Linked DNA regions of Arabidopsis thaliana. The protein of the gene in region 3 interacts with the protein of the main gene of each other region in a pairwise test. Each region holds a gene or a part of one and is shown on either strand. Other genes may lie near its edges.

Evidence for each region.
Region 1: the proteins of NAC094 (region 3) and ERF12 interact in binary tests that used the Arabidopsis thaliana proteins (3 or more experiments, as listed by UniProt).
Region 2: the proteins of NAC094 (region 3) and ERF4 interact in binary tests that used the Arabidopsis thaliana proteins (3 or more experiments, as listed by UniProt).
Region 4: the proteins of NAC094 (region 3) and BZR1 interact in binary tests that used the Arabidopsis thaliana proteins (3 or more experiments, as listed by UniProt).

Annotation. Positions count from the first base shown.
Region 1 is NC_003070.9:9,949,673-9,956,065, reverse strand, and holds ERF12 (ERF domain protein 12), read right to left. Parts: upstream 4,305-6,393; 5' UTR 4,133-4,304; coding exon 3,563-4,132; 3' UTR 2,961-3,562; downstream 1-2,960.
Region 2 is NC_003074.8:5,118,124-5,123,882, forward strand, and holds ERF4 (ethylene responsive element binding factor 4), read left to right. Parts: upstream 1-3,298; 5' UTR 3,299-3,348; coding exon 3,349-4,017; 3' UTR 4,018-4,439; downstream 4,440-5,759. Other genes in the region: AT3G15200 (Tetratricopeptide repeat (TPR)-like superfamily protein), read right to left, coding at 1-937.
Region 3 is NC_003076.8:15,937,155-15,943,325, forward strand, and holds NAC094 (NAC domain containing protein 94), read right to left. Parts: upstream 3,437-6,171; 5' UTR 3,338-3,436; coding exon 3,139-3,337; intron 3,050-3,138; coding exon 2,709-3,049; intron 2,620-2,708; coding exon 2,146-2,619; 3' UTR 1,956-2,145; downstream 1-1,955. Other genes in the region: AGL98 (AGAMOUS-like 98), read right to left, coding at 124-753, 831-1,190; DEG8 (Trypsin family protein with PDZ domain-containing protein), read left to right, coding at 5,729-5,862, 6,141-6,171.
Region 4 is NC_003070.9:28,182,487-28,189,773, reverse strand, and holds BZR1 (Brassinosteroid signaling positive regulator (BZR1) family protein), read right to left. Parts: upstream 4,271-7,287; 5' UTR 4,066-4,270; coding exon 3,799-4,065; intron 3,455-3,798; coding exon 2,711-3,454; 3' UTR 2,629-2,710; exon of another isoform or gene 2,364-2,628; intron 2,328-2,363; exon of another isoform or gene 2,128-2,327; coding exon of another isoform or gene 1,807-2,127; 3' UTR 1,728-1,806; downstream 1-1,727. Other genes in the region: AT1G75090 (DNA glycosylase superfamily protein), read left to right, coding at 162-546, 1,366-1,507, 1,586-1,727, 1,807-2,127; AT1G75060 (histone deacetylase complex subunit), read left to right, coding at 6,489-6,713.

The DNA.
Region 1 (6,393 bases), on a different chromosome or scaffold from region 3:
TGTTTTTTACCTATATCCAATTGGATTTGAGGAAATAGTAGGATTCTTAATTATTTTTTTAATAAACAAATATAATGGAGATAATACTTTATTCAGGATAATGAGATTATTGGTCAAATATAAAATTTGCTGTTTTGAACAAAAGCAATAATAAGTTATCTTGCTCGAATCAAGGAACACAAGCTAGGACAAGAAGCTCTAACTTTTCTTTGTAAAATTGTTAAACATAACGGCATTAGTTGTAAGAACGCTAATTTTTTTTTTTTTTTTAATTTATATATATATATATATTTTTAATAAATTATAGATAAGCAATCTATAATTTATATTATATTCAAAAACTAAAATAATAAGTTATCGTTTTGTTGTATTGTTTCTTGTTGTTATGGAAAGTGGCATTCGTAGATATCTTATGTTAATCGTTGTTTTAAGAAAAATATAGATTGTTTATCTAAATTGTATTTGGGTGTAGTCTATACCGTGTATAACACACTATTTTTTTTTTTCGTTAAAACTCAATTTACCTGAATTTTTTTTTTTTTTTAATTAAGATGAAATTTTGTATATCGATAACTTATATGATCATTTCTTATTTAATTTTCATTTTTGCCAATATGGAAAATGAATTGTACGGTTTTCATTCTTAGATTATAATATTTGTTATCTTTTCTATATATGAATGTACGATTTTTTATATGCGAATGTATTTTAACTTATCATTGACCAAAAGTCTATTATAGAAAAATAAAACATAGATATTGTGTCTTTTAATATATCTAAATAAAGAGAAAGTCATTTATACATGTATAGTTACTTATTTCTCCTAACCCATAATTTTTCTTTTGGACAAACTCCTAACCGATAGTTTATACACGTTTTGGTAGGAACTATAAATAGGTCGAGTCGTCGAGAGGTTAGCCATCTTTCAGATACTAATCTTTGGATTTCCTCTTTATTCTATATCAGTTTGGGGAATGGAAACTTGTTGGGGAAAGCCTGACATTAGATAGAGGCGGTAGTCTCATTGCTAAAAACATAACGTCTGATTATCGGCTGCAATCCTATATGGATACTGGCCATTTCTTATGGTTAAATGTTATGTTCTGCAATGAGAGAGTTTTGTCCTCTATGTGAGTATCAATTTTTTTGGCTTGAGAGATTCATAGGGAGCCTTATTTTTTGTACTGGCCAGAGAAAGCTTGTATGGTCGATTTGTATGGGTGAAGTTAAGAGTAGTGTAGCATCTAACTGTCTTTTGTATAAGTCGGATCAATAATGGCAAAATGTTAGATGAATACAGTAGTCCATGAGTATAGGTTTGCTCGATATATATCTCATTTCCATATACATACTTTACCTACAATATCTGTATCAACGTTAACAAAACTGAACTTGGACCTCGATTGCTAAACAGCCCATCAATTCTTTTGGCCCAAATATTAATGTTTATTGCTCCCCCCCCAAAAAAAAAGATTACTGTCAATTGTCAACAATGTCCATTGCCTTTCAATTATCTTATATAATATAACTAGATTTCAATTAGCTTATATAATTTTTTTGACAGAAATAATCTTGATTTTCTTAGCCTATCAGTTCTATATCAAATCTCAGAAATCCTTCATTTTGAATTTGTTGATTCTCGGAGATGAAGAAATCAAATGGGATACATAAAACTAACGATTAGTTCCTCTTGAATTTTTTTGAGCTAAAGGAATAATTTTTGAAGAGATTAGCCTTATTACCTAAATTCATGGGTTAAATAGGCACACAATATACTCACATAGAGCAAAAAGTTAAAAACTCAGAAATTGTAAACCAGAAACCAATAATTTCCAAAACCGCGGATAGTTTGTTGGGACTTATTTTGGACACATATCTTCGAACCATTTCATACACACAAAAGGCATTATTGATTATAAACCTCAAAAATTGATGGTCGGCCACTGCCGCCACACTTTCAAGAAAAATAGCACTAAATTGTTATAAGACTTTTTTGTTTGTTTTGTCAAATAATTATATAAACCTTAGGTATAAGGTTTATGAAAACGACAAGAGACACGCAAGGAAGGACTAAAATAAACAGTTAAGCCCATATAAAAAAAAAGTAATGTAGCAACCCAAAGTTTTGAATTGATTTTTCACTAACACAAGCGATATCATGCGGCGGCGCGTGGGGTCTCTTTGGCCAATTTGGTAAATTCAGTTGCACCGCAGAAACACATGCAGAGGTTCGTCGTCATAGCGAACATATGTTTAAATTCAGATTATACAACTGGTTTATTAGGCCTAAAACATAAATTTTTTGTTAGGTTCTAAATATTTCTTAAATTATAAAATTTGTCGCTAAACTCTTTTTGTCTTTCTCTTGCTAAAAGCTACATGAGGTCGATTACAAATCGCTTATGAAATACGATAAAAAGAAGTTGCAACGAAACTGTTAGAATTTGATCTTTTATGAAAGCAATATGCATAATGCATGATCTTTGTTTAGTCAATACATATGTCTAAGTGTCTAACACATGTAACAGTTCTATGACTGTTTTATAGTCTCATAAAACTACACGATTCCGGTTCTACATATAAAACATAAACATAAAATCTTCACAATCTGCATGAAAGTTTTGATTTCGCTACGTGAGATCTCCTTTAGTTAATTAATTTGACTTCTTATGATATTTGATTATATCAAACATGTTTGTTTCATTTACTACTGAAATTTGCGTTATTTTAAGACTTCTGTAGATAAATTTGTTATGTGAATTTGATATTTATCTATATAGGACCGTCAAAAATTTTATTTATTTTATATTTTTAGATGCTTCTATATATATATGTATACACGCATAACATATATAAGATTGGTAAACATGAGCAGAAAAATTATAGGACAATTAAACTTCCTCTAATTTTATCAGAAAACTTTTGTTCGAATTCATATGAAAATTTTCAAAATAAATAAAAAAATACAATTTATTTACAAACTCAAGACTCATAATACACATATCTTGTCCGTAAGTGAATAAGCCAGTCCAAACTCACACGCTTGCTCAGCATTTACGTCTCTCATTAGTCTCTATCTCTTTTGTTTGTTTCCTTCTTTTCTCAGTCCGTCTTTTGTCGTGATTTAAGAGAGAGGCGCGTGAGTCAAACAGGACACTAGCAAAGCAAACAGCTGCACAAGTCAGTCCGTACTTCACGACACGCCATAGAATACGATAAGATTTTTAAAACCCCCTCGAAACCGACATAAGCGACGGTCGTAACACGATCCACAAACATAATTAGATCCACGTTCAGACGTTGTTAAGTTTTTGTGTTGCTAATTAAGAAGTTTCTTGTTTTTTCCGCAACATATGGATCTCACAACAACAATCGATCTCCGACTCTTACATAACGAACAAAAGAAGGATTAAATTATAAAAACAAGTCTACTAACTCTAACAAAAAGATACTATTTGCTAAAAAAAGAAACTAAAGTAGTTCCACCGAAAGTGGTCTCAAACGGCGCCGTATAGAAAAGTAGGCAAAACGGCGCCGCTATATCCATCTTTATCGTTTGTTTTCAAAGCCAAAGCGGCGGAGGCTCGTTGAGGTCAATGGCTAAGCCACGTCTCACCGTAACAGGGGAAGGAGAAGAATTCATCATCGGAAACCCAACCACTTGATAACCAGGCGATGACGTGGCTGTGTTAGGCGAGGAGGTGAAGTAAAGCGGCGCTTCTGTAGAAGAGTAATCTGAAGTTTTGTCGTTTAGCACACCGGTTCGGAGAAAAATGCGGTGGTGTTGGTGATGATGGTCGGAGCTTGGAGGAACAGGAGGAGGCGCAGCGAACCAGAGCTGTTGGTGTTGGTGGGGTTGGTTATTTGCGGCGGCGGTTGCGGCTGAGGGAGCGGAAGGGAGGTGGTTGAGGTCGAGAGAGAGAGGAGAAGGGAAGTTAGTTTTGGCTTTGATACCACGGAGGAAACGAGCAGCGCCGTCGTAAGCAAGAGCAGCTTCTTCGGGAGTGTCGAAAGTGCCTAACCAAACCCTAGTTTTCTTCCAAGGATCTCGTATCTCAGCAGCGTAGCGACCCCAAGGTCTCTTTCTGACTCCTCTGTAATGCACCTCTCTTGCACACGTCGTTGACGCCATTGTTAGACTCTCAAGAGGGGAAATATGAGAGAATCTAGAGAGAAAGTGGAGAAGAGAAGAAAGAGGTTTTGCTTTGTTGGCTCGTTTGACCCAAATGAGAGAGAGAGTGAGTGAGTTTAAAGAGCAAGAGGTGTGTTTGTAGGGCCGCTTGAGAACACCCGTAATCCTCGGCTTCTTTTGACGATTATCTATCTTTATTTGTTGCCTATACGTAATATATATGGCAAGTTAATAGTAAAAACAAAACTGAATAGTGTTTGATTTCTAGGATCGAGGTTTTCTCTGGGGTTTGCAAGAATCAAGCACCGTTCGATCTTTTGCTGTTGGGTGATGTGACGGTGGTATGCTGAGAGATTGTTACACGTGGGTGTTCTACACCAAAATAATGTTGTTTTAATAAGTTGATGTATTTGAAAAAATACAATAGGATTTCTCATAAAGTGAATACTTCTAGTGGTGAGTGGACTTATTCTAGGACATGAAAGAAAACAATGCTAATCATTCCTTTGAGTGCTAATACTGTTTTCTTATCTACCATTTACAACTTCTGTTATATAAAAAAGATTTGTTAGGTAATGGTTAGAAATAAAATATTTTAGTTCTACTCTCCAAACAACCTCATTACCGTTGTAACTTATGGTAAATTAACTCATTACTTGCTAGTGACGATAATGCCATACTATGAAATTTATGCTATTATAAAAAGAAGATAGAAAGATCATTTTTGCATAGGCTCTCCAAACATTTTTTCATAATTCAAGTACTTTGTTTTCGATCGTAACAATCTCGATGCTTTTTCTCACAGCAACCATTGATACAAAATGATCAAAGAAAAAAGAACTAAAAATAAATAATCTTGTACATTTACGAAGAGGAAAGAAAAATGGGCCGCCTCTTTGACTGAACCTGTGGCATAGGGATGCTGACGTAATCCCTAGTACTGATAATAGCCATCTCTCTCTATCTTTTGTATCTTTCACTCTATTATTTGACAAGTATTTAAATGCTCTCTTTTGGGGTTTTATTGGCACCCATATATATTTATGATGCACGAGGACAAGGCTACAAGGAGATCATTAAATAAAGTTACTTGACACAACTACTCTATCTTTAGCTCTGACTGATTTTGTTTTTCTTTTTGTCCAAAATTCATTAGCCCATCTTATGCAAACTTACTATACTCTCTAGTCTATACTAATAGAGTAGATTACATAGGCTCTTTCTTTTCCCTCTAAAAAGTGACGTAGTTTAAGTCTTTATATTGTGTAAAATATATAGTAATCATAGGAGTCAAAAATTTATAGCAATTGAAGTGGCTTATAATTTTCAGTAATAGACAATGAATTAAAACAAATTAGTTAGAGGTTTTTTGTTTTTGTTTTATCAACTGAAGTTTTATTAGATTAATTTGTCTTTTAACTTCTCTATTTCTTGACATTTTGTAAGATGTTTTTGTTTGGTTTTAGGGTTATTTAAAAATAAATAAAAAAATCTGTGTTTCCTTTCACGTGACAAGGCTTAGGGTCTGTCGTTTTGATTGAACAAATGCATTGGTCCATATCTAACAAAATTTATACACGTGCGAACTCTGATGTCTGACTTCTCTCTCTCTGACATATCTAATTATTTAAATTAACCCTACCTATAAGCACAGTAAAAAAAAGAGAGATACCCCAAAGCTATATAAGCTACTACAGTACTAATAATCATTTTCAAGAAATATTTTGGAGAAAAATGTGAATGTGGCTTTCGTGTTCACGTGAGCCTGTGATACATAAGAGCTTTATGACGTGTCTTTGTAGTAGCAGCTAGGACAAAAGGAGCATCGTCATCAAGTGGTACTGACTGGCTGCCTCCTACAAAAACAGAACACAACTCAACACTCACACGAAATCATGACTTTGATGTCTCTCTGCTTACGTGTCTTCTTCTCATTCCATGAACCCCCTCCTCCTCTCTCCCCACACCTGATCTGACTGCACTTTCGCGCCTCTTTTTTGACTATTTTGTTGCTTTCTTATCTTTCTTTTTTTCCAGGAATTACTTACAGGTAGTAACTTTTACGTTTTACCATCAGCTAGCTCTTTTTACTAGTCAGTGTGATTCACAATTTCGATTAGAGGTAAAAAATAATACTGGAAAATTTTAGTTTAATGCTCTTGTAGCTGTGGAGGTTTATTTTTAGTTGACAATAAATCACAAAATTTGTCCAACTGGATTCTAATCTTCGAGGCTCATATCTATCAAAAAACAAAAATGAA
Region 2 (5,759 bases), on a different chromosome or scaffold from region 3:
TTCTGGTGTCCCACATTGCTCTGTATAATTCCATAGCCTTTCCCAATTTCCCCTTCTTCGTCAATGCATTTATCATTGTCCCATAGCTAACAACATCTGGCCTGCATTTAGAAGCAATGATATCTTTCCAAAACCTCTTAGCTTCATGAACATTTCCTAATACACACCACCCGTTGAGAATCATATTCATCGCTTTTATATCGCAACCAAACTCTCTTCTACGAGAGCAAAACAAAGTTTCCGCAAATTCAACATGCTTATACCTACACAACCACATCAAAAGCCCATGAAACGCAACCAGATCATCATCTATCCCAAACTCTTTCCTCCTCTCAAAGACTCCTACAGCTTCATCAACTTTATGTGCAGCAGCGTAACGGTTTAACAAAACTTCGTACGTCTTCTCGTTAACAAATCCATCTCTCTTAGACATTTCGTCGAACACTTGGTGAAACTCTTCAAATCGCCGCATTTTCCCAAGAACATCGAGAATCTCGTTATACAACATCGAGCTAGATAGATGAACAGATTGTTTAACGACCAATTGAGAAAGTATATAAGCTGGTTTCCAATCAGATCGATTCCGATTAACCACTTCTAAAACAAGCTCTTCGGTTAAGTCTATCCCGCACTTATCGAGAATCCGCTTAATCTTTTCAGGTGAACTTCCACGGTGATGCTTTATGATGTTATGAACATCAAGAGCAGATTGCTTGTCTTTGTCGTCGTTGAATCTATTTGGAAATTTGTCGGGAGCTCCAAGAGAATGAAGAAAGTGTGTACCCAGAAAGTGGAACCTGGAGAGAGTGATATTGTTCTTATGATTCGGTGTCTCGGGAGGAAAAACACGGCGAAAATCGACCAATGATGAGATCCGGCGCCGCGATAGAGCACTTTGTAGCTGAAACAAGATTTCAATTTTGTTTTTCCCTCCCATCTTCACTAAACTCTCTAAAGATCTTCCGAAGCAAAACGTTACATATACAACAACAAAAATTGCAATGAAAAATACATATCTTTTTACCAAAAATGAATTAAACCGGATTTTTTTAGTAAGGTTGAATGATCATTATTTGTTTAAGAACAGCATTATTTGTTAGTGATTGCTATTAAAATACGAATGATAACAAATTTTAGTATATGAAATTTCATTCGTTTCGGACAAAAAAAATAATTTTTATTGAATAAAGAATTTATTTCGATTGAAGTGATATTGTTTGGTACCGAAAGTTTTGCTTACAAACAAACAGAGGTTTTGAATATAGAGACAGCATAAAAGTGAAGCTAGCTTAAGTCTATAATCATGTTTAAGAAAATTAAACAGTAGTATCTTCTTAATGAAACGTAAAGATAATATATTTAAATAAATGAATCTTTTTATTTTCTGATATCCAGCTGATTCTGTGGCCCAAGAAACCCAATCCATTATCCATGGCGTGAAGACATATGTAGCTGTCGTAAAAGAATAAACAAAGACCAATTAAAAAAGAGCCAATTAACAACCAAATTACATAAAATTTATTAAAACTAATCTATTAATCACACGTCTTGTTCTGCCGTCAGAATGTAATTACCGTCCGTCTTTTAGGAAACAAAGAACAAAACAAACGGCGGGCCCACCGCCGTTAGAATCTCTCTCGGTTAGCCGACGCGGCCACCATTCTCTCTCTCTCTTCATCCATTCTCCACGCGTCGCGTTGACCACGTGGCACTATACATCTTTAAAACTCTTTCTATTTTATTTAAATAGCGAGTGCGTTGTGGGCCATCTTTGTTTTTCTTTGGCGGAGGGGCGGCTAAATAGCCTTTTGTTTTTATTTTAGTTTTATTCCGCGAAAGAAAAAGCAGTCAAACTCCAAGTTGAATTTGGAGCTGAGTCTACGAAGTCACGCATAACGCTCTTTCTTTCACGCGATCGCCGTCGGCACGTGTTTGGCGGTGAGATTCACGCTCGTACATGGAAACGCGGTTCCCAAGCCGCGCGTCCTCAAGGTGTTGCCACGTATTTTACATTTTTGCGTCATCCAATACTGTTCTTTGGTTTCTTCTTCTCTCTTCTTTTCAGGCGCCGCTGCTTAACTTATTTCCTAGTTTTTGAAGTTACTCTTGTCTTTAACTCACACTGCCATATAGTATGACTTTATTTACCTGTATTTTCAAATTTTTACACACATAACAGTATCTTTAGTTGTTTATTGGTCTTACAAAAAATTGGGTATTTTTTAAACCAAAAGTTTTGAGATACGAAAACAAAATTGATATGATCTGAAAAATTAGTTACTCACATATTTGTTCAAGTTTTTTTCTCAATTATGCAAGCATTAAGGTTGATCCAACAGGTTATGAGAAAACAAACTGAGTTCATTACAAGTGTACTCACTAGAGCAAGCTTGTGTAGTTATATCCTAAATCATGAGGGTAAATGGCACATGACAATTCGTAGTTAGATTAACTATATATATTAAATTAAGATGTGGGATTACATTCTTAATTCCCTCGGTTATGAAAATCAAAATCTTATCACCAGCATTCAAGGGAATACGCTGTGTAGACAAAACAGCAAACAACATGCATCTCCATTAAATGCGTCAAATACTGTACGGATTTCTTTAGTTTTTTTGTTACAAATTGTATCAAAAGTTTGTTAGTACATTGTACATACAGATAACAAATGAATTTCACTTTTTAGATAAAATAGTTTACACAAAAAAAAAAAAAAAAGACTTTGCATCCAATATTTTCCACCACAAAATAAATCATTCAAAATACGGATTGATTAAATATGTATCATAGTAAGATCTATATTTCAAAATTTATCCTTATTTCATTAAGAACTTTAATGCAAAGATTACATAGTCCAATTAATTTTCTCATTGCCAAATATTAATAATTAAATTAAAGATCCAGTGATAAAAAGTTTTATTTTAAAATTAAAGTCAATCAAATTAATGTATTTAATTTGTATCTATATTTTTGACAATGTATTCAACTTTTTAAATACATCAATAAATTCATTAATAAGATGATCAACAAAAATTGAAAACGCTTGGTGAGGTTAAAAAAGAAATGAAGGGTTGATAAGAAAAACAAAATTCTTTGAAAGAGGAAAGAAAAACACGTGGCAAAAGATAAGTGGAGGTAAAAAAGAAAACCATGAAAACCGCTGGTGTTTTGTAAGAGAAGCCGCTAAAACCATTTCAGGCTTTGACTGTTCACAACAAAGCGCCCCAAAAGGAGCGTCGCTTTTACTCTCTCTCCCATCCTATATATAAACAACTCTCTCCTTTCCTCTTCTCCCTTCAATTATCTATCACACCACCACTCTCTCTCTAATCTATCTATCCGAGAATGGCCAAGATGGGCTTGAAACCCGACCCGGCTACTACTAACCAGACCCACAATAATGCCAAGGAGATTCGTTACAGAGGCGTTAGGAAGCGTCCTTGGGGCCGTTATGCCGCCGAGATCCGAGATCCGGGCAAGAAAACCCGCGTCTGGCTTGGCACTTTCGATACGGCTGAAGAGGCGGCGCGTGCTTACGATACGGCGGCGCGTGATTTTCGTGGTGCTAAGGCTAAGACCAATTTCCCAACTTTTCTCGAGCTGAGTGACCAGAAGGTCCCTACCGGTTTCGCGCGTAGCCCTAGCCAGAGCAGCACGCTCGACTGTGCTTCTCCTCCGACGTTAGTTGTGCCTTCAGCGACGGCTGGGAATGTTCCCCCGCAGCTCGAGCTTAGTCTCGGCGGAGGAGGCGGCGGCTCGTGTTATCAGATCCCGATGTCGCGTCCTGTCTACTTTTTGGACCTGATGGGGATCGGTAACGTAGGTCGTGGTCAGCCTCCTCCTGTGACATCGGCGTTTAGATCGCCGGTGGTGCATGTTGCGACGAAGATGGCTTGTGGTGCCCAAAGCGACTCTGATTCGTCATCGGTCGTTGATTTCGAAGGTGGGATGGAGAAGAGATCTCAGCTGTTAGATCTAGATCTTAATTTGCCTCCTCCATCGGAACAGGCCTGAGCTTTTAACGGTGTCGTTTCAATTCGAAGCGCATGCGTTTCTTCTTCTTTTTGAGCTGTGAAAATTCGTTTTCTCATAGTTTTTCCTCTCTCTCTCTCTCAGTCTAAATTTATTACCAGTTTTTAGAAAGAAAAAACAGATTAAATCTGAGAGAGAAAAATATAATTTTAGCTGACATGGATCGTTATGTACATATTATTACATAACCGGAGATCTGAACTTTTGTTGTGTGCTTTTAATTTTTTGCGACTTGGTTTCACCCCATGTTGTTTCTCTATTTTTTTTACTACTTTTTTTTTTTTTGTTCTTCCAAATTTTCAATCAATAATTTGGTAATCTTCAGAATTATCTTGTCCAATCCAATTTCCGAAATTTTGATTATTACTACTTGTGGGTTGTGGCGGCTCCTTCTATTGGCTTTCCTTTTCTATCGTTACCACCAAATTAAAAAAATTGAAGGGACTAAAATTACTTATTTGACAAAACAAAATAATTGTAAGTTGAAGTATAAGAAAAACTAAAATTCAAAGTGAGATTAATAAAATGGTAGTTGAGTATCGTCGGCTTTTAACAATGGTCCAAGTTTCCAGCAGACACGCAGCCGGCGTGTGTGGGCCCTCGTTTTGCTCTCTGCGGCGTAAGTTAGAAAATTCTTTGCGCTTACGTCACTTAGTAGTAGGGTCCACTCACAGAGTACGGACATACTCATTTCTTTTCTTTCTAGCTAACTTGGAAGAGTCTTGAAGCTGAGAGTTAACACTCTTTAGGTCTGACAGAGAGAACCTAGATTTTTAATTTGATAGATTCTTAAATTTGGAAAAGAAACTGCCACAAAACAAAGATAAGATTTTGTTCAATTTTTTTTAAGAAAGATCTCTAGTTTCGTAAACAAATTTTTGTCGGCAAAAAATGGAAAAAGAGTACACAAAGTCTCTAAAGAAACAACTATGACTAGTCTAGATATTGGTTTTTTTTATCTGAAAGCTTTTAGAATATATAGCTTATAGTGCAAAATTAATTTTCTTTAAACTATGACATTGAATTGATTCGGAGTTGAATTGGACTAAACCAACATCATTTGACCCGTTAAGCTAACAATAGTGTTATTTATAGATATTCTTTTGGCCAATTATTTCTAGATGGCTGGTCTTTTTGAATTTTATTTCGTTGTTTTAAATTTGTGCGGAAAGTAAATTTAACTTGCGAAATTTTTTATTGAATGATGGCGTGATGTGTTGAAAATGTAAATATAGGTACAAAACAATGATGTTAAAAGTTTGAAAGAAAACGACGACGTATAAGAGGGTGTGAAATAGAAAGCGGCTTCATAATGAGAGGCAGAGAAGAGAGGTTTTTGATTGGATTCTTGTCTCCAACTCCGCAATCAGAAAGAGTCAATAACTATCCTTTCGTGATTCTCGTGTAGATCCAACGGCTAGATTCTATTCTTATCCACGTGTCTGGATCATACACTTTCATGTTTATTAACTACGCAAAAAAAAAAAAAGAGTGAAGCGGCACCGACGGCCAAGCAGCGCGAGTCATCATCATCCTTTTCAGAAGAGACCGAATCAGAGACGGTGGCGCCCACATTCCCATTTTTTTTAATAATATATTTATGAGAATAAGACTTTTTAGTAGTATTATTTCAAAGTCTTTGTCCTCTCAAAGAGAGTATTTATAGCGAGTAAATTATGTTTACAAATATATATATATATCTAGAAATAAAGAATGTTTTTACG
Region 3 (6,171 bases):
AGCTTGATACAAGAAAACATTATGCGTTATGCAATACTTAGCAAAATAAACATCAACAACATATTAAAATTCTTACGAGAAGATGAAAAAACAGTCTCACACTCTCTTGAATGAGCTTTGTTATCAGAGAAACATCGAGTTGTCGATAAGAAGGTTGTTGTTGGTAATATCACTCGTAAACAGGTTCTGATCATAACCACAAGGAACATGCGGCATCAACCCATAGTTGTTGTTCACAGATTCTTGTACCGCAGGAGCAGAGTGATCTTGTGTGTTTGAGACAAAAGAATGTTGGAAGTTGTTGTTGTTCATAAACATGTTCTGATCATAATTACAAAGCTCCTGTTGCATCAAGCCAGATTCTTCTTGTAGTAAGGCTGAGAACTCTTGATTGAAATTTGATGCAGAGAGTGGGATTTGAGAGAGCGTAGCATCTCCATTGTTACTCATGCACATGTTCTGCTCATAACCACAAACCTCCTGCTTCATTATCTGACTCTTCAACTCAGATTGTTCAAGTAACGCTGAGAAATAATCCTGATTGAAATTTGATGCAGAGACTGGGATCTGAGACAGAATATTATCTCCATGGTTATACATAAACAGCGAAAACTGGCTAGGGTTCAAAGATTGGGTCTGATTATTCAGAGAGGATGATGCTAAACTCTGATGATCCGGTTTTGTCTCCTTATGTTTCTGCGACTCAACAAAACGAATCCTTTCTCGGACTTTAGAGACATGAGGTTCTAAGGACTGAATCAGTTGAGAAATTTGGTCAGGAGAGTAATGATCAGCAATTGGATACTTTAAAACATTCACGTTCTTCAGACAAGTCTTTTCAAGTCGTTGTCCTTTATCTTTGCTTTCTTCTCCAAGTTCGTCTTGTTCTTCTTCTTGTTCAGGAAGTCATAAAGAGTAACGCTCTTCTTGCGTCTCAAGGCTTCGTTTAGTTGACTATACCTGAGAGCAATGTCTTCCACTTTCTCTCGCTCCGGAGGCCATGTCTTGAGTTCTCCGTCTGGTCCGTAATAGATGACGCATGCTTCGATATCACAGAGAGTGCAAAGCTCTGAAGCTTTCCTGAAGATGGTCTCAAGTCTATTGCTCAAACTTGTTGAAGCGAGTGAATAAGAAGAAGACGAAGAGGAATTGGAACAGCCTGAGGAAGAAGGTAAAGATCGAATGGCCATCTTCTTGTTGATTTCGAAGACAATCTCTCTATTTTTTGTTTCACGTTCAAAGTGAAGAGAAAGCACGAAGACGAATGAAATTGAGAGAGTGAAACTACGAATTAGGTTTAGGAAACCCTAAGAAGATGATGAAGAATATGAAAGTCAGAGACAACTTTGTGAAATAGCGATATACTTATAGAAAATTTGGTCCTTAAAGTTAGATTTTTTATTTTTTTTTCACTCTTCTAATCGGTAAAACAAAGCTTGTGAAGATTTGATTTCCATATCTTTTGCATAGATTTGTGTAATTTAGCCGTTAAGGACTGATAAAAAGGAAATAGTTTTTTTTTTCTACTCTCACTCTCTTTTAATTAATAAGATCTATAAAAAAGAAAGATTTGCTTGTCCATATATATTTCAGATACCCTTTGTATCATTATGTAAATAGCTCTTAATTAATAATATAATTATTGGATTTGCTAAAAATTTGTGACAATACAATCTAACAAAAATCGACCAAAATACATCCATTTTAAATAAAATTTAGAACCCTCCATTAAAAAATGAGAAATATAATTTATAACTCCGTGTACCTTTTTAATCCATTACTTTGCCATTATTGACATAAATAAAAGATTTTGCAAATTCATATTTTCTTTACTTATTTTCAAAAAAAAAAAAGAAAGCATTGTATCCTCTTCATAAAGAATATGAAATATGGCTCTGAAAAATCCAAAAAAACTAGTGTCATTCAAGAATGAGACTTAATGATTAATATAAAAAGCCATTACAATTATCTATACCAAATTAAGGAGAAGTTGCATGTTCGAAGCAAGTCTTTGTTTTTTTCTTTTTCTTTTCGGCCTTCAAGAAACCAAAAGAGAAGCAACGTTTATAGTAAGACAAGAAAAATTAATACATATTAGCGATGATCAACGTCTACACTAATTCAAGTGTTAATAGTACTATGATCTTAATTGTTAGTGGAATACGACGTCGCCGACATCTCACTCCCCGTAGTCTCCTCCATCACCATTGATCTTACATTCGGAACCTCATGAGTCAACCCTCCAGTCAAGTTGTTGAAGTAGTTATTCTCATTGTTGCTCAGAACCAGAGCATCCCCTGTTCCATTGTTTCTCAGAAACAGAGCATCCCCTGTTCCGTTGTTTCTGGCTGTATTGTACGTGACTCCGAGCATCTGAGACGCGAAGTAAGAAGCAGCTGATTCTGTGAAGCTTGCGGGTTCGTTGACTGGAGAAGGAATAAAGTTTTGTCTTGTTGATATGTGGCTGAGAACGTCTGATGAAGCTAAGAGAGTTGCGGTGTTGTTGTGTGACTGTTGATTGTTGTCAGGAATCGTTGGATAAACCCAAGATTGTGGGATTGATCTTTGTGAGGATACTGCATTTGTCTTCTTAAATATTCTACATATCGCCCAAGCATCCTACAAAATGAAAAAGATCGATTCTAATTTGTTTGGTAACCTAACCTTTGTTGCGGGTAAAGCAAGTTAGGGCAAATCCGATAACTTACGTTTGAAGGAAGCTCCTTGCTGTTGTTGTTATTGTTAAGGTGTTGCTTCTTGTTATTGTAATTGGGATATGATGAGTGATGAGAGTCAGAGAGAGAAGGGAGACGAAATTCATGCATCATCCAATCGGTTTTGACTCCTTTAGCAGCTCGACCACGGTAGAACACAAGTGATTTCTTCAAACCGATGCATCGAGTGGAGTCCAATGAGTATATAGGCCGGTCTGTTCCGGTTGCTTTCCAGAAGCCACCTCCAGTTACTCGGTTAGGTCTTGTGCTGTTGCGGTATTTCCTGTCTCTAGGACAATAAAAGTACCACTCTTTTTCCCCCATCGCTGCAAGCTCTTTTTAAACATTGATTTAAGAAAATGCATAATCAAATATTTTGTTTCCATATATTTGGAGAATTAAAAGTTAGAGTTTTGTGGCTTACTTGGGAGGTCCCATGGATCGTATTTGTAAATGTCGACTTTCTTGATGAGATCAAAGGGAAGAGATTTGTGTAAAACCTTCCGTTTCAAGTAGAAACTTACGAGTTCTTCATCAGTGGGATGGAACCTAAACCCTGGCAATACGACGTCGTCATATCTTTCAACGTTGTTACTCTCTTCATCATCCATAACTAGAACCATTAACACACACAGAATTAGTACTTTTGGGATACCAAAATTTGATGAAGAGAAACAGAGAGATTTATAGAGATAGAGAGAGTAAGTTTGGGGAAGAAGGAAGAAGTTTCTTAGAGAAGAAGAAATGGGTTCATAGGGAAACGATAATTGGACCAGAAAGTGATGCGTAGGTATAAGACCAATGTCTCTTGAATAAGAGGAGATTTATACAAGAAAGATATTATGAATCTTGAATTTTGCCGTTAAAATTATTATTTTTCTTATGAGAAGATTCAAACTTCAAGGTTATTGCGTACTTCGTGAAATCGAGGCTACGGACGAGTCGAACAATATAGGAAAAGTTATACTTACATTACGTATGTGGTTTATCTTTAGGAAAATATGATATGGAAACGTTTTTCTTCCTTTGTTTCGATATCTTATAGATGCATTCTACCAAAAAAAATCTAACTATATGGTTAATGACTTAATGATGATACGACTTTGACCGACTAATGTCAAACGTTTTTCTAGAGTAGAATCTATATGGGATCCAATCTCTATATCTATAAGTCTATAAGTAAAAGTCTTATAAATTAAGATTGATATTTGAAAGTTGTGGTGCTTAAGCAAAGGGTCGTTGTAGTTTTAGTTATAGCCGTAAATAAAGTAATGTTCTTTTACGTAAATTATGAAATCTCAAATTCGCGATTCCCTAAAATTAATTTATTCCTTCCTTCTTCCACATTTATTTATAGTTTCATACTTTTATATATATTATTGTAACATATAAGAAAAGTAAAATCCATGGTAAGTCAATATAGGCATTGGTAAAATCGAAGGCATTGCTTAAGGTTGCTATATATGTCTCCAAGTTTGAGACATGTAAAAACATAATGTATACGTAGAATAGAAATGAAGATCTCGTGGTAAAAAAAAAAAAAAAAAACAAGATGAACCAAAAAACAATTCAAGATGAGAGAAGTCCAAAAAATGGCCTAGGTTTTTTAACCCACGCAACACAAGTTGGGAAGTTTGGTCAATAGCCTTTAACCTAAGCTTTCTATTTCTCTTTATATGTAAAACATTAAAGTTGTCAACAACCATCCTCTTGGAATATCTATTAATGCTGTGAAAATCCAAGTTTTTGCTTTAATGCTTTGAACGGTTTGTGCTTTAAAACCGATACATCAAACCATCTATCTCCGAGACTAAACCCTAGGGAGCATGTATCGGACATGCTCGTCGTCCTCAAAGGAAGAGGATGATGGAGGTACACTTGCCTCTCGGCTGGTACAACACTCGCTCGCAAGGTTCGATTAATAGCTCCTCCAAAGTGGTCTGCTCAACCTAGAAAAGAGAATTGAAGGAGACATTTTAATTTAGTGAGATAAAAAAAGTAAATTGTGAACCTGAAATAAAGAAGTGGAGATGTTTCATAAACCTTGATAACACTTTTGAAAGAGACCTTGCACAAGACAATCACATTGTGGTCCACCTAAACAAAAAAACAAAGTATACATGGTAAGACAAGAGTCCAACAATGAAGAGGAATTTGGAAAATCAAGAAGCAAACCTACAGTTTTCTTTTTGTTTCAAACTTTTAAAAGCATAATTCCTTCATCTTCCACTCAGGCCTCACATCGTTTGATTCACTCTTAGGACCTAAACTGAATGACGTCTTTAGCCCAATGCATATTTGCTGTTCTTCTCGATTAACACTTTTGGATCGCGGCGTGACACCCATTTCCCGATAGAAGTGCTGTTCCCTATGAATCCAAACTAAAATCCGAATATCTAGGCCTAGATAGCGATATGTTTTTCTGGTCTGCTCAACGCATTTTCATATTTCAAACTGCTGGTCAATGTTTAATTTATGTATAAAATAATCACATGTGAAGTTGATGTATAAAACTGTCACAATTTGAAAGTTGGAGTATTAAATGACATTTTTCTCATTTCGATTATGGTGAAACGACGTTGTATTGGAAACTAAAAGAGACTAGTTAACGGATGTTATCGGATCTGTTAGCGGTAGATAACGTCGTGTGTATTTTGGCATGATCAACAAATAATTTTGTATGAAATGGTGCCCGATCAACGTATTTTTATATATTAAATGGCCATATACGAAGTTCACATATTTAAAATAATTACTTTTTAAAATTTCGCGTATAAAATGCAATATTTCTTAATAAAAAAATAAATATCTGCTTTTTTGGGTTTTTTCACAACAAAATAACACATATAAAATAAATAAATCATTTATTTTCTAAATTACTAGAGAGGGCATTTCGGTATTTCAAGTATCTTCTTCTTCCTAAGCTACACAAAAAATTATCTAAGATTCTTAATTTTATCCAGGTTTTTGCCAAATCGACTGGTCTCAGAGTTTTCTCGATTTTTTTTGGAAAGATGCAGGTAATAGCATCTTTCTGTTCGAAACCTAATGAGAATGAATTTGTTGGTCGACGACAACTTCTTTCTTCAGTCTGTTCCAAAATTTCTCAAGGCGACGTCGTTTCACACCCACCCGTTTCTTCTGTCAAGTAAGCATTTTAGCTTCTTCCATTGCCCCAAATTTTGCTGAAAATTTGTTCCTTTGATTTGGGTTGCTCAAAGATTATGTCTTTTCCTGATGGGCTTTAGGTTACTAAGAATGGTGTTATGTGTGAATCAACGTTAGTGAAAAATCACCGTAAAGCTTTTAACTTTTGGAACAATCTTTTGGAGAAACTTCTCATTTTGAATCAGACATTAAGATTTGTTGATTTCTTGGAGAATTTTGATGTTTATGTTACTTTTTGACTGTTTGATTATTCGATAGGGTTACTCAAGATTGGAAGTCGAATTTACAT
Region 4 (7,287 bases), on a different chromosome or scaffold from region 3:
TACCGTTCTACAGTTTTTAAAAACCTTCGTTAAGCTCTTTCATACTCTGTTCCATCTCTCTCTCTCTTTCTCACTGATCTCATTTCATTCCTTATCTTTCCAATTTTACCCTCACGTTACCTTCGAATTCTCCATCTCCTACCATTCAAAGCTTCTCTCAGATGTCTATAGTCTCTAAGCTTCGTTCTCCGGTTAAACCAATAGATGAGTCACGAGCTATCCTCTGTTCGACCGGGAACAGATTTAAGGTTACGAAAACAGAAATGACGAAGAAGCCACAACTGAATCCACGAGTGACGAAATCTCCGGCGACGAAGAAGCCCGATTCCAATTTCTCAGTTTCGACTGATGATTCCTCTTCTTCTTCTTCATCCTCGGAACGTTCGTCAGTGAACACGACAAACTCTGGGAAAGTAACCACTCCGTCGAAACGGAACGGAGTTGAGAAGCTCAATAATGTCGTTGCCTCCGTCGCCGTCGTTGAAGACATTAGTCCTAAAATTCCGGGACCGGTCAAGAGATGCCACTGGATCACACCTAATTCAGGTCTCTTTGTCTGACACCTTTTTTTTTCCCTCTTTGCCTCATTTAACTTTAATTTAAATTCACATTTTTTCTCTCATTTATTTAGAGAAAATTCTGTTTTTTACCTCTGAATTTCGTGAATAACGAGGAAGTATATAATCCATCTGTTACTTTTTGTTTGATCTTTTAGAAAATACACAAATATTAAGAAAACATAATAAATGTTGCATTTAAATGTATTATTTTTTGTGATTTACAATTTTCAATAACTTTAAACCAATGATATTCACTAATTTGTGTTGAAGTTTACAATTTATCAATTATAACTAATAACTATTGTATTGAAAATCTAAAAAATTAATCTTTTTGAAACAATTTTTTTTTCTAAACAATCAAACAAAAAGGAACGAGGGAGTATATTTTTAAAGAATAAAACAAAATATTAGTTTTTAGGTTTTATTGTTAGGAATAAAATGTTTTACACTATGTAGAGACTTGTTGTCCTTGTCACAACATTTAATGAATCTGCAAAGAATTAAAAGATACTTACCAAATTTCTTCGTTTTTGGCCCCAATAAAATATCTCAATCGACTTTATAAATTGATGCCATGTGAATGGCTTTTTATGGTTTTCGAAATGTAATTTTGTTTTGATAATACGTTAAAGTTAATAAAGGTTACAATCAGTTTTCATAGATGTCAACAACACATTAATTGCACCTAGCAAAAACTAGGTATTGTAGTTGATAAATAAGGACAAAAAAAAATGTAGAAGATGATTGATGACATTGGATATGTAAGTTTTTCAGTTAATAATAATAATGGTGATTGATCAAACAGACCCGATCTATGTTTTGTTCCACGACGAGGAATGGGGTGTTCCAGTTCGTGATGACAAGAAACTCTTCGAGCTACTTGTCTTCTCACAAGCTTTGGCTGAGTTTAGCTGGCCTTCAATCCTACGCAGAAGAGACGACTTTAGGTAAACTTAGGACGGTGAATTTGCTATTTTGTGTTTTGGTTTGGTGTGATATCAGAAGTTTTGGTTTCTTTTTTGTAGGAAGCTCTTTGAAGAGTTTGATCCTTCAGCTATAGCACAATTCACAGAGAAGAGGTTGATGTCTCTTAGAGTTAATGGGTGTCTAATTCTATCCGAACAGAAACTGCGAGCAATTGTAGAGAACGCGAAATCTGTTCTCAAGGTAGGCACTGTGTGTTTTGCTATGAAATTGTAGATACTATGTGTTTACTGAAATAGCTTTGGTTGTAATCTGAAAACAGGTCAAGCAGGAATTTGGATCGTTCAGTAATTATTGTTGGAGATTTGTGAACCACAAGCCATTAAGAAATGGCTATCGATATGGTCGTCAAGTACCGGTTAAGTCCCCAAAGGCAGAGTACATTAGCAAAGATATGATGCAGAGAGGGTTTCGCTGCGTTGGTCCTACTGTTATGTATTCCTTCTTGCAGGCCTCTGGCATTGTTAATGATCATCTCACAGCTTGTTTCAGATACCAAGAATGTAATGTTGAGACTGAGAGAGAAACAAAAAGCCATGAGACTGAAACCAAACTGGATCTGCATTCTCCATTACTTGTTTGATCAGAAACAGGGATTGGACTATTAAGAAGATGAGTGACCAGTGTTTGTATTCGTTATGGAATGTACCATTTGTAGCTAGCTGTGTTCATTGATTATGCTACTATCCTAGCTAGCTTTGTCTAACTAGATATTTGATGATGTGTTAGTGTTTGACCAAAAGATTGATTGCAGGGAAATAAAGAATTTAACATTTTGTAAAAGCAAATGTTTTTGCAAATTTTGGATCTTGATGCTAAGAGACAGAATCGGCTCAAGAAATGATATATGACTAAGCAATTTGACAAGACACAAGACAGTTTCAAGCCACTAATTAATGTAACATATGTAAGGAAACAGAATCATACATCTTAAGATTTTTTTATCTACAAATAATGCTTTTGAAACCAAATTCATGAATTGAATAACCACTCTAACACTCCAATGCTTCCATGGAGAAGGCTTTGGGCAGCATATTTGGATAATAAGTGAAGAACATATGAGATTCCATAAAGATCCAAATACCTGGACGAAGAAGAAAATACTCAAGAGGATTAGTTTCTCATATTCCAATGACATGCCATTTGGGTTTGCCTAGTTGTTTATGTCAACCACGAGCCTTCCCATTTCCAAGTGTAAGCTCAAGATCCTCCATACCCACATCATGTATCCTCTCTCCTTCCCAGGGTTTAACTTGGCTATTCTCAAATTTAAACTCAGAGCTTTGACCAATCTCTTGGAAGGCAGCAGTATTTGGAGACATCTGCTGAGGCGCAGGTTTCACAAGATTGAAGGTAGGAGAGGTTGGCACCATAGAGGCAGAGAATGGCTGTTGTTGTGCAAACTTCTGAAAGCTTATCCAATGACCAGAATCAACAGTGGAAGAGTCAGACTCATCACATTCAGGTATAGTAGCCGGGGTATGAAACTGGTGGCGATGTGTCGGACTAGCAGGTGCAGAAACCGCATAGAAAGGATAATTAAAAGACGCCATTGATTGTTTAGCAATGGCCATGGATTGCTTAGCGATAGATTCCCAGTTAGGCAACGGTTTCGGGTTCTTAGAAGTCGGCGATGAGACCGGTGGGGTAACTGGACAACTGTTTGAGATTCTGAGGGAAGGAAGAGAAGAAGGAATGCCACCATTTCTGAGGAAAGGGAAGAATGTAGAGGACATGTTGTTATTTGGTTCACCGCGAGAAGGACTCGGGAATGATGAAGAAGACGGGCTAACTTGGTAAGATGGGATGGGACTTTGAAAGGCTGATGAAAGAGGGCTCTGGTTCTGTGATGAATATGGAGTTACTCGAGATGAAGTCCCAGCTATCTCACCAGGTAAAGGCTTGCATCCCTGATACTCCAACAAAAGCAAAACAATAACCAATCAAACATCAATCAATCACAGGTAAGCAAAAGAAACACAATGCAATGACTTTGGACCAAGTATCATACATAAAAGATTAAGACTTTAGCATACCAATAATAACTCTAAAATTAGAAAGAAAACCCATAAATTCACTTTGAGAAATCAGATCCATCCATAGTTTCTGATGATTCAAATTCACTTTGAGAAAACCCTCAAATTCTCAGATTCAAACCCATTTAACCACAATTGAAATCAACGAATTCAGATTCAAACATCAAAAACATCAATAAAACAAGCTCAGATCTGGAAAAAATGGAGAAAGTCTTCACCTTGCGATAAGTAGTACCATCTTCTTCAACAACCCAACCAGCTTCAACACAAAGAGCTTTAAGGACTTCATTATTATCACAATGTTTAGGCAAATTATAATCACCTTGAGCTCTAAGCCCAGTGTATATCTTCGCAGCTACAGCTCTTCTCCGTCTTTCTCTCCTCCGATTATTCTCCCTTTCTCTCCACGACGGCTTCCTCCTCGCCGCTGCTGCCGCCGCCGCAGCTGCAGCTGCTGATGTCGACGTAGCTCCATCCGAAGTCATCGGGAAAACCAACAACCAACCCCTCGAAACTTCCGGAGAGAGCTTTGAATAGGTGGGTGAAAGATTGTGTGAACGTAGACTGATGAAGAAGAAGAAGAGAGGAGTGAGAAGTTAGTGCTCACGAGGAATACGCTTTTCCTTCGCTGGAATCGAAGAAGAAGAATCTCTCTTTCTTCTCCAACAAATAATAATATTTTTTTCATCTAATGTAAAAATTGGGTCGTGTGTGTGTTCAAGTACATTGAGTTCATATTAAGAATCATTGTTCTTGTGTATCGATCGTCCACGTGTAAATACATGGTTTTGGAAGGGTGAGATTACGTGAGGTGAATATAAGAGGTGTATGTTAAGGTGCAGAGGATAACTACGCTTAGTAACGTGTGTTTATGTTCTAATCTTTTTTTTTTTCTGTGAGTATGTAAAATGAGTAATGACCAAATAATACAGAGAAAAGAAAGGAGGAGACACAGTGGGACCGTTTCTTCAGTGTGGGTCCCTTACTTGTGTGACCGAAAAACACACCATTTGATTGGTTTTTAAAATTTTATTTTATACAGTGAAGCCGTGTGATTAACATCATAATGATATATTCAATTAAAAATTATCACTTTTTTCTTGCATACAAATCTCACTTTAGAAACAATTTTGACTACTTTTGTCCTGATTAGTTGTATGTACACTGGCTCTCTCTTTTTTTTACCTTCTTCGTACCTTACAAATGATATAAAGATTGGTGAATACCATTTACTATGTTCTATAAAGTATTTAGTTTGGTTACATGTTGATTTTAAGCTTTAGTATCTAATATCCAAATTTTGGATTAATTGCTGGGTCCATCATTATTTATGTATTCATAACCAAAACTTGTATAGTTCATTGAACATAAAAGGAAAAAGGGGTTTACGAGTTTGTCCCATAACAAGGTTCGGCGGCATATATGATGTATGATCATGTAATATTTTTGGATTATGACGTTTATTTTGTAGAAAGTGCAGGAGCATGTAACTAATGTCTTAAAAGCAGAGGAACCCGAACCATCAACGCGAGTTGGGAAACATTTGGAATGAATCAGAGGGTTCGATGAATTAGGCAAAACTAAAGTAATCGCCGTTGCCGGGGATCGAACCCGGGTCACCCGCGTGACAGGCGGGAATACTTACCACTATACTACAACGACTTTGTTGCTAATCGAGCGATTATGTGTTAATTATTGGTGATACGTTTTAAATCATCAGTTAAATCTTAATACCAGCTTTCGTTTCTAGCATTAAAAGGAATTTAGGGGTTTTCTTCTTTGGTTTGGCACTAGTAACCTACTTGTGATAATAAGTAGATTATGTGTTAAGTATGTTTTTTTTGGAAATATGTTCTGTTTTTCCGATTAACTCCATGTTACCTAGCTAACTCGTTTTGGACAATAAGTACATTACTTTAAACCATCAAACTTACAAAATGCTATGTCTTGAACAAGAAAAAATGTTGGCTTAAGAATCACTCCATGAACATTGTTTTAGTTTAGTTAAATGTTCAATATGGACATTATACGATGACATATTTAATAGAGGCGTGATTTCAAATTCAAATTACATTGGAGAGGAACGAAAACAAATAAACAATAGGGGTATAATCGTAACTTACGCATGCATGGGCCCCATAACTCCTGACTTTTTTTTTATTTTGAAAAAACCCAGTCAACCATTCATATTCACGTCGATCGCGTGTAGACATTACACAAAATTTACGAAGTGTGGCCCTCGTTTTCCTTTTTTGATCATTTTAAAACCCTCTAAAAGCATCAATCTCAGATTCCAATACAAATTAGTACCCAAAATGTTTCATACAAATTAACCAAACGTATCCACTCCTTTCTTTTTTGTTTCAATTTCGTTTTTACAAAATCTAAATCTTCACAACCAAGACAAGACAAGTAATACAGTGAATAAAGAGTAAAAAGTAATACAAGTTTTCCAACAAATGAATTCATCTTTATTAGAGAGTAAAAAGTAAAAAAGCTCTCGGTAAAAAACAAAAAAAGGTTTTGGTACCCATCCATGAAAAAACCGCTCAATTTCCACAGTGCAAATGATACAAGTACAAAACACACGTGTTGATACCTTATTGGTCACGATAGGAAGGCGGTCGCTATCGCCTATCGTCCCTTCCCTTCCCTCCTCTGTATCTCTATCTTTCTCTCTCTTACTCATCATAATACACTCTGCTTTTTCCTCTTTCTTCTCTCACTCTTACTCTGTCTTTCTTCATCAGACCAAAAACAAACCCTAATTTCTCAGCTCGATTTCTCTCTTACTCCATTTCTCAATCCTTCACAAAATGCACCAACTTCCATTTCCGAGATCGTAAAAAAGCTTGTGGTACTTTCTGATAATAGAGAGGGAAAAAACGAGAGAGAGAGAAAACACAAAATGCTGGAAGCTCCGGTGAACAAGTCAAGCATCCTCAATGGAGGAGGAGGAGGATTCTCTCAGCTACAGAGTTGCTTCGGCGATTGCAGTAGCGAAGAAGAATTGTCAGTGTTGCCACGTCATACCAAAGTTGTCGTTACTGGAAACAACCGTACCAAATCTGTTCTCGTCGGTCTTCAAGGCGTCGTTAAGAAAGCCGTCGGACTCGGTGGTTGGCATTGGCTGGTGAGCAAAGATCAACTTCGCTTTCTTCTTTACCTCGTTTTGTCTTTTTTGCATCTTTGTGTCTGTCTGTGTTTTTATTCCCCCAGTAGAGTAGATTTTTAAAAACTGATTAACAAAAGATCCAGAATCATTAGCTCAATAATGCAATAAAATCAATGGTTGTTCTATGTTACCGATTAGATTGATTGTTCTTAAAATATCATAACTTTATTTTGTTAAATTGCATCATAACGATCTGCACTTTTTATATTTATTTTTAACTTTTGTGTTACTTTTTCTCAATCAATTCCTTGAGAATCCTTATCTTTGTGGGTTCAAGCTGGCTTTTAGATTTGTTTTACTTGTAGTCACTAATTTTGATATACTTTAATTAATAATATTTAGGGTTTTTGTTCTTTCTTTTTCAGATTGGTCATTTTCATCCACTGAAAAATGTTAAACTTTTTATAGATGTTCTCCGTTTCATTAGGCTTCCTAGTTTTTATATTATCAATTTTACTTTCTTTGATCCTTTTTTGATCATTTCTCTAGCTATACAATAAAAATCAGTATCTTATACGATTTCCTCATAACC